2 linked regions of the Caenorhabditis elegans genome follow. The protein of the gene in region 1 purifies or fractionates together with the protein of each later gene. This does not show direct contact. Each region holds a gene or a part of one and is shown in the gene's direction. Other genes may lie near its edges. The genes, in order: emb-4 and csr-1.

Evidence for each region.
Region 2: the proteins of emb-4 (region 1) and csr-1 purify together in Caenorhabditis elegans (affinity purification with western blotting, with the first as the bait; one study listed by BioGRID). This does not show direct contact.

Annotation. Positions count from the first base shown.
Region 1 is NC_003283.11:18,891,748-18,896,741, reverse strand, and holds the start of emb-4 (Intron-binding protein aquarius), read left to right. Parts: upstream 1-1,767; 5' UTR 1,768-1,773; coding exon 1,774-1,842; intron 1,843-1,911; coding exon 1,912-2,246; intron 2,247-2,984; coding exon 2,985-3,292; intron 3,293-4,068; coding exon 4,069-4,317; intron 4,318-4,994. Other genes in the region: nhr-243 (Nuclear Hormone Receptor family), read left to right, coding at 1-177, 994-1,264, 1,327-1,425.
Region 2 is NC_003282.8:7,955,630-7,962,952, forward strand, and holds csr-1 (Piwi domain-containing protein), read left to right. Parts: upstream 1-1,637; 5' UTR 1,638-1,706; intron 1,707-1,944; 5' UTR 1,945-1,950; coding exon 1,951-2,425; intron 2,426-2,969; coding exon 2,970-3,129; intron 3,130-3,170; coding exon 3,171-3,324; intron 3,325-3,367; coding exon 3,368-3,579; intron 3,580-3,623; coding exon 3,624-3,775; intron 3,776-3,822; coding exon 3,823-4,208; intron 4,209-4,253; coding exon 4,254-4,975; intron 4,976-5,019; coding exon 5,020-5,119; intron 5,120-5,163; coding exon 5,164-5,520; intron 5,521-5,570; coding exon 5,571-5,759; intron 5,760-5,802; coding exon 5,803-5,891; intron 5,892-5,937; coding exon 5,938-6,034; 3' UTR 6,035-6,528; downstream 6,529-7,323. Other genes in the region: Homeobox protein ceh-19, read right to left, coding at 1-176.

The DNA of each region.
Region 1 (4,994 bases):
GCATGTATGGTCTCGTCTGGATAAGTTGGCAATTACAGCGATGGGGCGACGGATGAAGATGTGCTGCGGTGATTGTGTAATGTTTTCGCATAAAAATGAGTATTCAATGATGGATATGAAGAATATGGAGTTGGATTTGACGTGGTGCTCACGATTAACCAATCAGCAAATGCAATTGTAAGTACTTAGGGTTGATCAACAAAAAATGCGGGAAAAATTTTCACTCCCAGAAAAATATGACGTCAGCAAACTCTATCTCTAAACACCCCGCAATTCTCGTAGATCAAACCAAATAGTAGTTTTTGTAGCGGAAAATTTCGGAAATACGCTTAAAACCCCCTCAGAATCACCCGAAAACTCGAAATTTTTGTGACAAAATCCTGCGAAAGTGTGCATTTTAGGCTTAAACAGCGCCAAAATGCTGTAGTTTGTAGTCAAAACCATCTCCAATTCGATTTTCTTTTCCGCGAAAATTTCCGCGAAAATTATTAATTTTCTCAGTTTTCTGGCATTTTTTCCATTAAAAACTCTATTGGAATTGCTTCAAAATTCCAAAAATTTGTAGTTTGTAGTCTAAGCAGCGCCCAAAATTGAATTAGCAGCGCCCAAAACTTGTAGTTTGTAGTCTAAGCAGCGCCCAAAATTGAATTAGCAACGCCCAAAAATTTGTAGTTTGTAGTCTAAGCAGCGCCCAAAATTGAATTAGCAGCGCCCAAAACTTGTAGTTTGTAGTCTAAGCAGCGCCCAAAATTGAATTAGCAACGCCCAAAAACTTGTAGTTTGTAGTCTAAGCAGCGCCCAAAATTGAATTAGCAGCGCCCAAAACTTGTAGTTTGTAGTCTAAGCAGCGCCCAAAATTGAATTAGCAGCGCCCAAAATTTGTAGTTTGTAGTCTAAGCAGCGCCCAAAATTGAATTAGCAGCGCCCAAAACTTGTAGTTTGTAGTCTTAGCAGCGCCCAGCGCATTTTCAGCAGAATTTCACCAATTTTCAGCTTCTACGACACGTCAGAAAACCACATAACCTACAAATTTGCCCAAGAAATGATGAATTTGAACCCAGATGACGTGGAGCTGTCCTATATGCTGGCTCATTTGGTGCTCGGACACGCGGGACGCCGATTTCGAGGCGAAATTCAAGAAAATTGCGAGAAAATTATGGAAAAATTGGCGAATAATCTGCATGATTACTATGTTAATGTGAAGGAAACGCCGAGATATTCAGTTCGCCTGGCGCAGATTTTGAGAATTATCCGGAAAATTAAGGTTTTCTTAGCTTTTTCACTCTAAATATTGATAAATTAATAAAATTTAACACATTTTTGCAGGAAGAAGTGCTCCAAATCCGCTCAAAACTCCAATTGGCCAAGGTTTTCGACGTTCACACGATGCGATTTTCTCATTATGAGTATTTTGAGGATTTATAATTGATTTTTATTGAATAAATTAACTTTAAATCGTGATTTTTTGAGGTTTTTGCAGGTTTTTCGATGAAAAATGACAAAAAATAAATTAAAAAAATCGAGAAATGCGCCAAGCACGCAAAGTGCGCCAGCAAAAGTCCAAGGCGCGCTTCCGGATTTTTCGAAATTTATTTTTATTTTCAGTTATTTTTTCTGATTTTCCGTTGTTTTTCAATGAATTTTCGAGGTTTTTTAGTGAATTTTGCATTAAAAAACTCGAAAATTTAATATTTCTTGATATTTTCTCCCAAATTCACCAGTTTCATCGCTAAAATCTTGCGATTTTCGGCAAAAACTGTTTTTCAGGTGTAAATGGTGACTAAACGTCATCAAGAAGCCGTGGTGACTCGGGGAGCCATCGAAAATGACACAATTTCAGCGGTGGGTGCAAAAAAACCTTAGAAAACTTACAAAAATCAAATTTCCTCCTAAAATTTCCCAATTTTTCAGGTCGCCGCCAAGTTCTGGGCTCCATTCACAGCAGAAACTCACGAAAATTTCGACGCAAAGCTCATCGACACAATTTACGACAATGAAATGCTGAAAACCTCGTTTAATTCGCGAAAAATCATGATGCTCGAGTTTTCGCAGTACTTGGAGGCCTATTTATGGCCGAATTACGTTCCAGAAAAAGCCTCAAAGGCCTGGAATATGTCGATTGTTGTGATGATTAATGAGAAATTTCGAGAACGAAATTTGGATTCGTGGAACTGTTTCACGAAGAAATCCGAGCACTTTCCGCACTTTTTTAAGAGCATTTTGCAGCTTTCGTTGCAGGAAGAAGGGTGATTATTCGAGATTTTAGCGGAAAAATGGCGAAAAAGCTCAGAAAACTCGAAATTAGCTCGAAAATTGAATTAGCAGCGCCCAAATCTTGTAGTTTGTAGTCTAAGCGGCGCCCAAAATTGAATTAGCAGCGCCCAAAACTTGTAGTTTGTAGTCTTAGCAGCGCCCAAAACTTGTAGTTTGTAGTCTAAGCAGCGCCCAAAATTGAATTAGCAGGGCCCAAAACTTGTAGTTTGTAGTCTAGCAGCGCCCAAAACTTGTAGTTTGTAGTCTAAGCAGCGCCCGAAACTTGTAGTTTGTAGTCTTAGCAGCGCCCAAAACTTGTAGTTTGTAGTCTAGCAGCGCCCAAAATGTCGTTAGCAGCGCCCAAAACTTGTAGTTTGTAGTCTAGCAGCGCCCAAAATTGAATTAGCAGCGCCCAAAATCTTGTAGTTTGTAGTCTAAGCAGCGCCCAAAATTGAATTAGCAGCGCCCAAAACTTGTAGTTTGTAGTCTTAGCAGCGCCCAAAAAACCAATTTCATCGCTTTTTGCTCATTTTTAGCTGCATTTTGCGAATTTCATAGCAATTTTTCGGCATTTTCGCTCATTTTGCACCTAATTTCGAGCAATTTTCTTGTTTTTTTTCGCGAAAAAAGCAAAAAACCACTGAAAATCACCACTATTTAAACGCGAAAAATGCGATTTTCCACTAAATTTCTCCCCAATTTTCACCAAAAAATCCTTCGAAATTTTGCAGACTCGCCTCCTCAGAACACTGTGCTCTTCTGACATTCCTTGTCAACGCATTTGGCTCCGTTGAGACACCAATTGTGCACAAAGAGACACGAAAACTCGTCTCAATTGAGATTTGGGCCGGTCTTTTGGACTCACAACGCGAAGATTTGTTCAAAAAACAGAAGAAATTGAAGAAAATTTGGGAAAATGTGCGGCAGAAAATGACGGCGGCGGCGGCGGACAACAACGAGTTCGAACGGACTTATTTGTGGAATTTAATCGAGAAATTTAAACGAGTTTTGAACAGTTTGGAGCCAAATGAGGCTCAGGGTACGTGGAAAATGCTAAATTTTCCGGAAAAAACGGAGAAAATCGGTGAAAAACGCCGGAAATTCCGTTTTTTTGAAGAGAAATGCGAAAAATTAAAGAAAATATTAGTTTTTTATCCGAAAACCGTAATTTTTTTTCGATTTTTCAATGAAAACCTCATTAAAATCTCTTGAAAATGACGAAAAAACGTGAAAAATTCACAGCAGCGCCCAAAATATTGTAGTTTGTAGTCTAAGCAGCGCCCAAAATTAAATTAGCAGCGCCCAAAACTTGTAGTTTGTAGTCTAAGCAGCGCCCAAAATTGAATTAGCAGCGCCCAAAACTTGTAGTTTGTAGTCTAAGCAGCGCCCAAAATTTGTAGTTTGTAGTCTAAGCAGCGCCCAAAACCAAATTTCATCGTAATTTACACATTTTCAGCGGATTTTCACTGATTTTTCCGATGTTTTTAGCTTTTAGCATCTAATTTTGAGTAATTTCTCAAATTTTTACATTTTTTATGGTATTTTCAGCATTTTTAGCCCATTTTTCGGGCAAATTTCGAGTAATTTTCAGAAATTTTGCAATAAAAATTCTATTTTTTCGAGAAATCAGCAGTTTCTCCAATTAATTTTTCCCTAAATTGTATCAAATTCCAGCTAAGAGTTCAGCGCCAAAATTCAAATTTTGTGATTTTTGAACTAAAAAAAGTCCCGGAAAATGTGTTGTAGAATTCGATTTTCGCGCGATTTTTTCTAAAAAAATTGGTCTTTTTCATTGAAAATCCACAATTTTTGCAGAATCCGAAGAAGGAGAAGTACGTGATCCAATTGATTCGATCAAATATTGCGAGAGATTCATCGAATTATTGATTGATTTAGAATCAATTCTTCAAACGAGACGATTCTTCAATTCAGTACTTCATTCATCACATATTCTCACACATTGCCTGCTTTCTTCGTTGATTTCCACTGACGCTGGTTCGCTGTTCTTCCAATTGGTTCAACTCCTCAAATTTTACGCTAGATTTGAGATTGATGATCTTTCAGGTGCGGGAATTGGCGGCTGAAAATTGAGAATTTTTGAGAAAAAACGGGCGCTAAAATGGTTTAAAAAAAACATGGTACAACATGACATTTTGAAGAAATCCGCATAAAAATCGTCAAACCCCGAAAATTGGCGTTTCTACAGTGAATTTCGTAGCCTTTTTACTGTAGAAACACGTCAATTTTCGGGTTTTTGACGATTTTTATGCGGATTTCTTCAAAATATCATGTTTTGCCACCATTTTTTTTATTGAAAACTAGTATAAAAATATAGAAAATTAGGTACTTGATTTTTCTGAAAATTGAATTTATTTCAGTCGAAACACAATTGATAAAGTGCTCAGAAGGCCATTTTTGAGCACTTTATTAAATTTTTCGACTGAAATGTATTTTATTTTCAAATAAATCTAATGATTTTCTATATTTTCACATTAAATTTCAAATTTTGAGTTGTCGAAATTTGTTTTTATTGCTTTATTAGACTCAAAATCGTCTGATAACACCGAATTTCATAATGAAACTTTTTTGAAAACTTCTCAAAAAAAGTTATGACGGCTCAAAAAATGGCCAAAAATTAGTTAAAATTTGAAATTGTATCGGCTTTTCGCAGCGGCTGGAAACTAACATTTTTGAAATCACCGTTTAATTTTGTGTATACAACTCGATTTAGGTACATTTAA
Region 2 (7,323 bases), on another chromosome or scaffold:
GCAAACATTGCCAATTGGCTTGTTGCCATATTTGTCCAACCATCAATTACATTTTTTTCTTCTTCCTCTTCGTCTTCTTCACCGTTTTTTTCGCTGTCGTTTTCTTCCTCAAAATCATTACCTTCTTCAACTGGATTAGATTTTTTCTCCAGTAAACTTTCAATATTGAAAGCCATTTTTCAATAGTTTTTATTTAAAAGACTTTAAGAAAATGTAGAGTTGAGAAGTTGCCAATATATATGACGATTAGGAATTAGATTGAGAATGAGAGCCTTTTCGGCTTCAGGTTTTGATTTATATTAGGAACCCGTGGGAAAGTTATGCGACAGGTGAGCTCTGAGTCTCTCTCCACCAATACACTCTTTCTTCAACCGCCCATGCTTGTAATCATTCTATGACAAACACTGAAATTTGAGTATTTTTGTTGAGGCAAGGTAATTGAGATTATTAATGGAATTGAAATTAGATTCTTTTGAGAAAATCAGAGAAAACCTTCCTAAGAAAATTCAGCTATATAGCTCGGCTACAGTAACCCCAAAAAAAGTAATTAACAAATGGGAAAGTGAGCATTGAAAATATTGGAAAATTGTCAAAATAATAGTGTTTTTTCCACGATTTGTTATCGTTTATCGTGAGATTTTGAATTTTCGGTTCTTTGTTATCACTTTTTTCATAGAAATATGAATATTTTTGAGCACACAAGGCATTCTCCAGGAGAATTATGAAACTGTGGATTATTTTTGGGAACGGACAGTTGAAGGTTTTCGCAAATTTAAACAAGTCTAAAACTTTTTACTTTTATTAATATAGTAATGAACTGTATTTTTACATGAAATGATTACGTTAACGGGACTCCAACTCATAAATCAAAAACACATTTTAACAGACAAAATATTTTATTGTCTACATGTTTGCTGTTAACAAAATTTTATCAAATCAATTGTGTAAGCAGATTTTTTATTTTGAATTTTTGTCTTTAATTCAAGAACTAGAAACTTTCTTGATACAAATTTAAATAGTGCATTGTTCTAGTTGAATTATCTACATTTTTCAAAATACCGCTAATCACTAATTATCGGTATGAATGTTCAAACTTTTGTATCTCTGATTACGGTTATCGTCCTAGTTCCAAATAACTAGATACATTTTCCAAAATCAAACATTTTTTTTTGATGCATAAACAGTTATGAATCATCTTTATTGCAGACGTGATCATGCCATTTCACCCCATTTTTATTGGTTTTCCAATGTTTATGGGAACAAAGAGCTTTTATTTATTTTCCTCTTTCTCTGATAATTTCATGAATAAGATTTGAATTTTTATTTTCATTGTATTCATATTTTCGAGTGTTCGGTAAGAATATCCTTTAAAAACATATTTTGGAAATTCTGTTTTCAAAATTATTTTTAGCCTTGATTCAATTTTAGTTTAAAAATTGTATGCTACAGTATTTATTGCTACAGTACTCATTCTCAGGATTTAGTGCTCCAGTAATAATTGTGATAACTTTCACCACGCGTAAAATATATTAAAAAAGTGTTGACCTTTGTCACGGTAAACGGCCAAAAAGCCACGTTTTTCAAGGTCAGCATACGTGGTGTTTTGTCAGGTTTCAAGTTTAGTTTATTCTATCGTTTTAGCTCCAAAATTGAAGCGAGACTTTCCTGTTTTTCGCAAGAATTGTTAGAGTTCTTATACTTTGAAGGTTTGTGTGATGCTTTTAAGGTTTTAAATTTGACTTAACTGTTTTCCAAATCTGAATAAATAGGTCTTCAAAAGTTTTTTTCTTTTTTCGAAAATCCTTCTTTTTTCTCTCAATCAATTGAAATCAGCTTTCGATATTTGTGTACCTCAAAATTTGCGGATAATAAACAACTGTCATCCTCAAAATTTCACAAAAATAATAATATTACATTTCTTGATTAATTTATCAATATTTTCAGGTTAGAATGCAGTCGGATAATGTCGGTCGTGGCCGTGGAAGCCGTGGTGGTTCTCGTGGAGGTAGTGGACGTGGTAGAGGACGTGGAGGATACGGAGACTCGTATCGTCCGGATTTAGAAACGAGAGAAACCCATGTAACGTATCAAGGCAAGGTAAAGTATGAAGGAGGAGACCGTCATGATTTCAACTATGAGAAGACGCCAACTGGAAGTTATCGTGGCTCGCATCGAGATGGTCAGGAAGGATCGAGAGGCAACCGCGGATCATTCAGAGGTGGACGAGGAGGTTACGACAGAAGACGTGATGATGAAGAATCAAAAGCAGAAAATCGTTTTGGAGGGTACAATCGGGGAGCAAATGGCGGAAACTATCGCGGGAGAACTGGCGGGAGCGGCAGAGGTGGATCGACCCAAACCACTACCGTGGATCCTAAATATAATGGATTGATCTTGGAAAATTCAGCAGAGCCAAAGCTTAAAGGTGAGTATTATTTGAGTATTATTTTGTATTTAAATAGCGACTGATTTTTAAATTAATTTTTGATCTCGCACCTGTGATTTTTCGGGGAACGAACCGAAATAATTTCGATCTCGGGCGGGAAATTGTTTTTCGAGATTTAAAAAAAATCTTCCCACCAACAAAGAAATACCAATGCGGAGGCACATAACAAACAATTTTGAGAAATCAGTAATTTGATAAAATAGAAGACTGAATAGTTATGAAATCAATAAAAGCTAACGAAATCAACATATTTTCTTTTTTTAGCATATTTAAAAATTGTTTCATCTGATCAAAACATTGAACAAAGGGTGGTGCGCGCTCTCTCACATGGATACGGTAGATGAAAAGTGTGCGACTTCGCGTCAGGTGTGATCACAATCTTCTAGAATTTTCGCATTCCCAAAAACTTGAAATTTAGGCCTTTCTCTGCGTTTAGTTGATCGTTTCTTTCCCGTTCTTATTTTGAATTTTGATATCATTGCTTTTATTTTTTAAATAATAATTTGAACTATACTTTTTTCAGGACTTAACTCTGACATGAATCAGAAGCAAAATCCAAGACTTGCCCTGAACATCTTCGGGCTTGAGCTCTCTGAGCGAACGATTTTCCGGCATGTTGTGCAAATGAAGCTCATCGATCGTCAGCACAATAAGGAGTATATTCTTACAACAATGAGTGCCAGGTGAGTGTACTGTTCGTTTAAAATTTACACTTTTATTTCAGAGGACGTGGAAACCGTGCAACAAAGCAAAAAGATAACTTTATTCTTCTTGACATCCTACTCAAACAGTGGGCCGCGAAGAAGGGTCAGCAGAATCTTCCTGCATTCGCGTACGACGGTGCACAGTCTTTATTCACTTTGGAGGGAATCAGCTTGGTATGATTTCATTTTTTTTTCTTTCTTGTATTTGGGTTTATAGATGGTCGATATCAAGAAAGAAGATGCTCTCGAAATCCCGGAACTTTCCAATTTTCTGAAGGATTCCATCTCGTTCCTCAGCGGCGATTTGGAGATCTCTTGTGAACCGGATCTCGAGAAACCGTCATTCGTTCAGACGGAGCTTAACGAATGGAGTGATCCAAGATTCTACGCTTATTTGGATATTGTGACATCACAGAGTGCCATTAGAAGGTATTATTAATTTCTTACTTATTGCTTTCCAAATGTATCTTCAGCGAAAGATATTTGTCGCAGTCGAAAGGTCTCTATGTCCACACTCAAAGCTTGGAGGAGCTTCGCGTGAAATGGGCTGTTGCAGCAAAAGGAATCCACAAAGGATGCCGAATCGTCGGAGCAAACGGACCTCTTCCAATTCTAGAACTCGATCGTTAGTTTCATTCGCGTTCATACCTTTGCAATTTTATATATTTGCAGCTCAATCGACTCAGTACTATGCTTCAATCCCACTCAGTCAGATGTTGCAGTACGCATTTCCTCGTGATTTTCCGCCAAACCGTATCGTTAATCCAAATATGAAACTGCAAAGAGCCGTGAAACTATTGTTGAAGGATTTAAAATGCAACCCATATTACGATGACAAACAGATTTGGGCTACGAACACTATCACAGTGTCGGATGTTGACTACAACGCGCCGAAAGATCCAGAATTCAGACAAAAGTATCCAAATCTGAAATTCCCAATGCTTCCTGCAGTTCAATGCGGCACTGGACCACACAAGCGCCTCATGCCGCTCGAATATTTGAAGGTTCTTCCTTATCAATCCATTGACCGCCGTGTACTCGAAGAGTTTGAGCTTACAGTAAGTTTAAATTTTTCATATATGTCATCTTAATTCAACTTACAGCCACGAGCGAATGCCCCGAACGAACGCTGGTCAACTCTTCAAAAACACTACGATCAATTTGGTTTCAACGATCAAGTCATGAAAGATTTTGGTGTCCAAATCTGCAATGATCCTTTCAACAACGTCAGTGAGATCGACGGTGAAAGAGTCCTCGCGCCTAGTGTTGCATATGCAGACCCGGTACACGTGGATGATGAGAAGCGTGACTGGAAAGCACAAGACAAAAAGTTTGTTACACCTGCTACGATTGACCATTTGATGTTCGTTCTAGTAGCAGGTTATACTCGAACTTGGGATGCTGATTGCGATGCAACCAAATTTGTCGCGAAAGCATTCATGCAGCGTTGCAAGGACAAAGGAATGCACATTGGCAGTTATAGCATGGATCAGCACAATGGCGAACGAGGCAGCGAAAATTTCCTTACTTCGGTCTTCAAAAACTTGGTGACTCATCCAAACTACCGGGATTCGTCTTTCACTCCGTTCGTCTTGTTTATTTCCGATGACGTTCCTAACATTCATGAGTGCCTCAAATTCGAAGAGCGTATGAGTGACATTCCAACGCAGCACGTACTTCTCAAAAATGTCAAAAAGATGCGTGACAACATCGAAAAGAAGTCTCAAGGTGGAAGAAGAGCATATGATTTGACTCTTGACAATATTGTGATGAAAGCCAACATTAAATGCGGTGGACTTAACTACACAGCAGATATTCCAAGAGAGTTAGTTGGGCGCACATCATACATTATTAAATTAATTTTTACAGTCTTGCGTGCTGGAATGAAGTTTCTACCTTCGTAATTGGAATGGACGTTGCTCATCCTGACCGAAACGCTGCGAGAGAAGGAAATCCATCCACCGTCGGAGTAAGTTATCAACATAGCCGTGTCGCTACAAATTTATTTTATAGCTGTCCTGCAATTCTGCTGAAAACCCATACTCGTTCATTGGAGACTTCTTATACACCGATCCTAGAAGAGAGGCGATCCAGGATGAAATTTTGCGAAAATTCACTGACCAAAGCGTTCGAAACTTTGCCGAAATTCGAGGTTTCCCAAAGAAAGTAATCATCTTCCGTGATGGTGTTTCATTCGGTGAAGAGACTGCGGCTCTGAAGGAGGTGGAAATCATTGAGCAAACCATTAAGACAGCCGCTAAGTCCATGGGCCATTCTGATTATGCTCCAAAAGTATTAGCCATTGTTGTTAAAAAACGTCACCACACTCGATTCTACGCCAAGGGAGGACATCACGGGAACATGCCGATCGTAAGTTCTTAAAACAATAATCTGTTAAAATTGTACGTCTTATTTTTCAGAATCCGCTTCCCGATACATCTGTTGGTGGTGATATTGCCGAATATGGAAAAAGACAAATCTTCATCCAAGCTTTCCGGCCAGTGCAAGGTACTGCAAAGGTTCCATCATTCTTGGTTATTCGAGATGATGAGGAAGTTTCGGACGAACATGTTGCCAAAATGGTTTGCGCCGTATGCAGTCTTCATCAGGTACAGACAACTGATTTCTTTCTAACACAAAGGAAAATTTTAGCTTGTTAACAGTCCAACATCCATCCCAACTCCAGTTTACGTTGCTCATGAGCTCGCCAAGAGAGGAACCGGGCTTTACAAAGCTTATAGGTATAATGTGATTATTCAATGCAACTTAAAATTTTAATTTTTTCAGGTTCAAGAATGGCGAACTCTTTGATGATTGGGAAACGCTCACCACTCAACTCTCCTATAGCACTCTCGATCGACTTTCAAAAGTTCGAGTTGTTTAGGCGTGCAACTCTTTCCCTGTTGTTCCTACATTCCTCATGTCTCGAATATCCTGAGACTTAGTTCAATAGATAAATTCCTCCGCTCGTAATATTTTAACTGTTAAATTTTCCTCCCTTAAAGTCTCATCTTATTTTTTCCCTTTTTCTTGCCTCCACCCTCTCTTCTCAAGCTCCTCCCATTCTTCGTTTGTTTTTGAATATAGAGAAGCGCAGCCAGTATTTCTCTTGAATACAACACAACTTGCTCTTCTTTCCATTCAAATATAATTATCATTTCTGGTGATATGTTGAACAATCGGTCTTCTCACATATGTTCACTGGAAGATTTCTTTTCATATGAAATTGTGGAAAGAATATCCTACCTTTACCTTGTTCCACTGGTTAGTATAACTTCATTATATAAATGTCGTGTTGAATAATGTTGTTTTTATTTTTATCTTTGCATGAATTTTTGTGGCAGATTTTATTCAACGATGAAAAGTTGAAACAGTGTATGCAAAAGATCTTTTGATTCGTGTGAAACATTTACCCCTGCCATACGGCCTGCGTAATCTAATTTTTTGGTGAAGGCTCAAGAAAATGAATTTGTTGCTCATAAAACATGATCCATAAAATGTTTTCATGACACATTTTTCGTTGACTCCTGGGGGGTATACAACTGCGAAACTCAGGAATTCATGAGTTTTCACGTGGCATTCATCTGGTTTTATTAATGACACATGATAATTAGTTATTTGTGTGCAGCCACTGAAAGAGCTTCATCTATCTGAAATACAACAGCTCGTCTACCGAATGAAATGACGCACCGAATGTGGAATAAAAAGAGAAATTCAGAAGATGTGCCCTTCTCTTCTCAGCTTCTCATGAATAAATTTGTGAGAATTTCAGAATTCCGAAAGACCATAGATTCTTGCTGGTTTGAAACCCATTATATAAATAGTACATTAACACGATATCTATTTAAAAAAGGAAATTGTTTCTTGCGGGGAAATTGATAAATAACTTTCGGATTGATAATTGTAAATTCCATTTTGAATTTCTGCTCCCTGAAAACCCTCTTCATAAAAATTTCGAGCTTTATGCCACAGTTTCGATTTCTCATTTCTCCCTCGCCTTTCTGAAACAAAGCTGCTATTTTCTGAACGTTAATGATATTTTCGCCGTCAGATGCTCAGAATACAACTATGTTGAGTTCGAATGAGCAAAGAAAAAAAAGGGAGAGAGAGAGAGTGAGAAAGAGAGCTTCATCTTCTCCTTTTTCTGATAATGAGCTCTTTTTGCTGATCCAT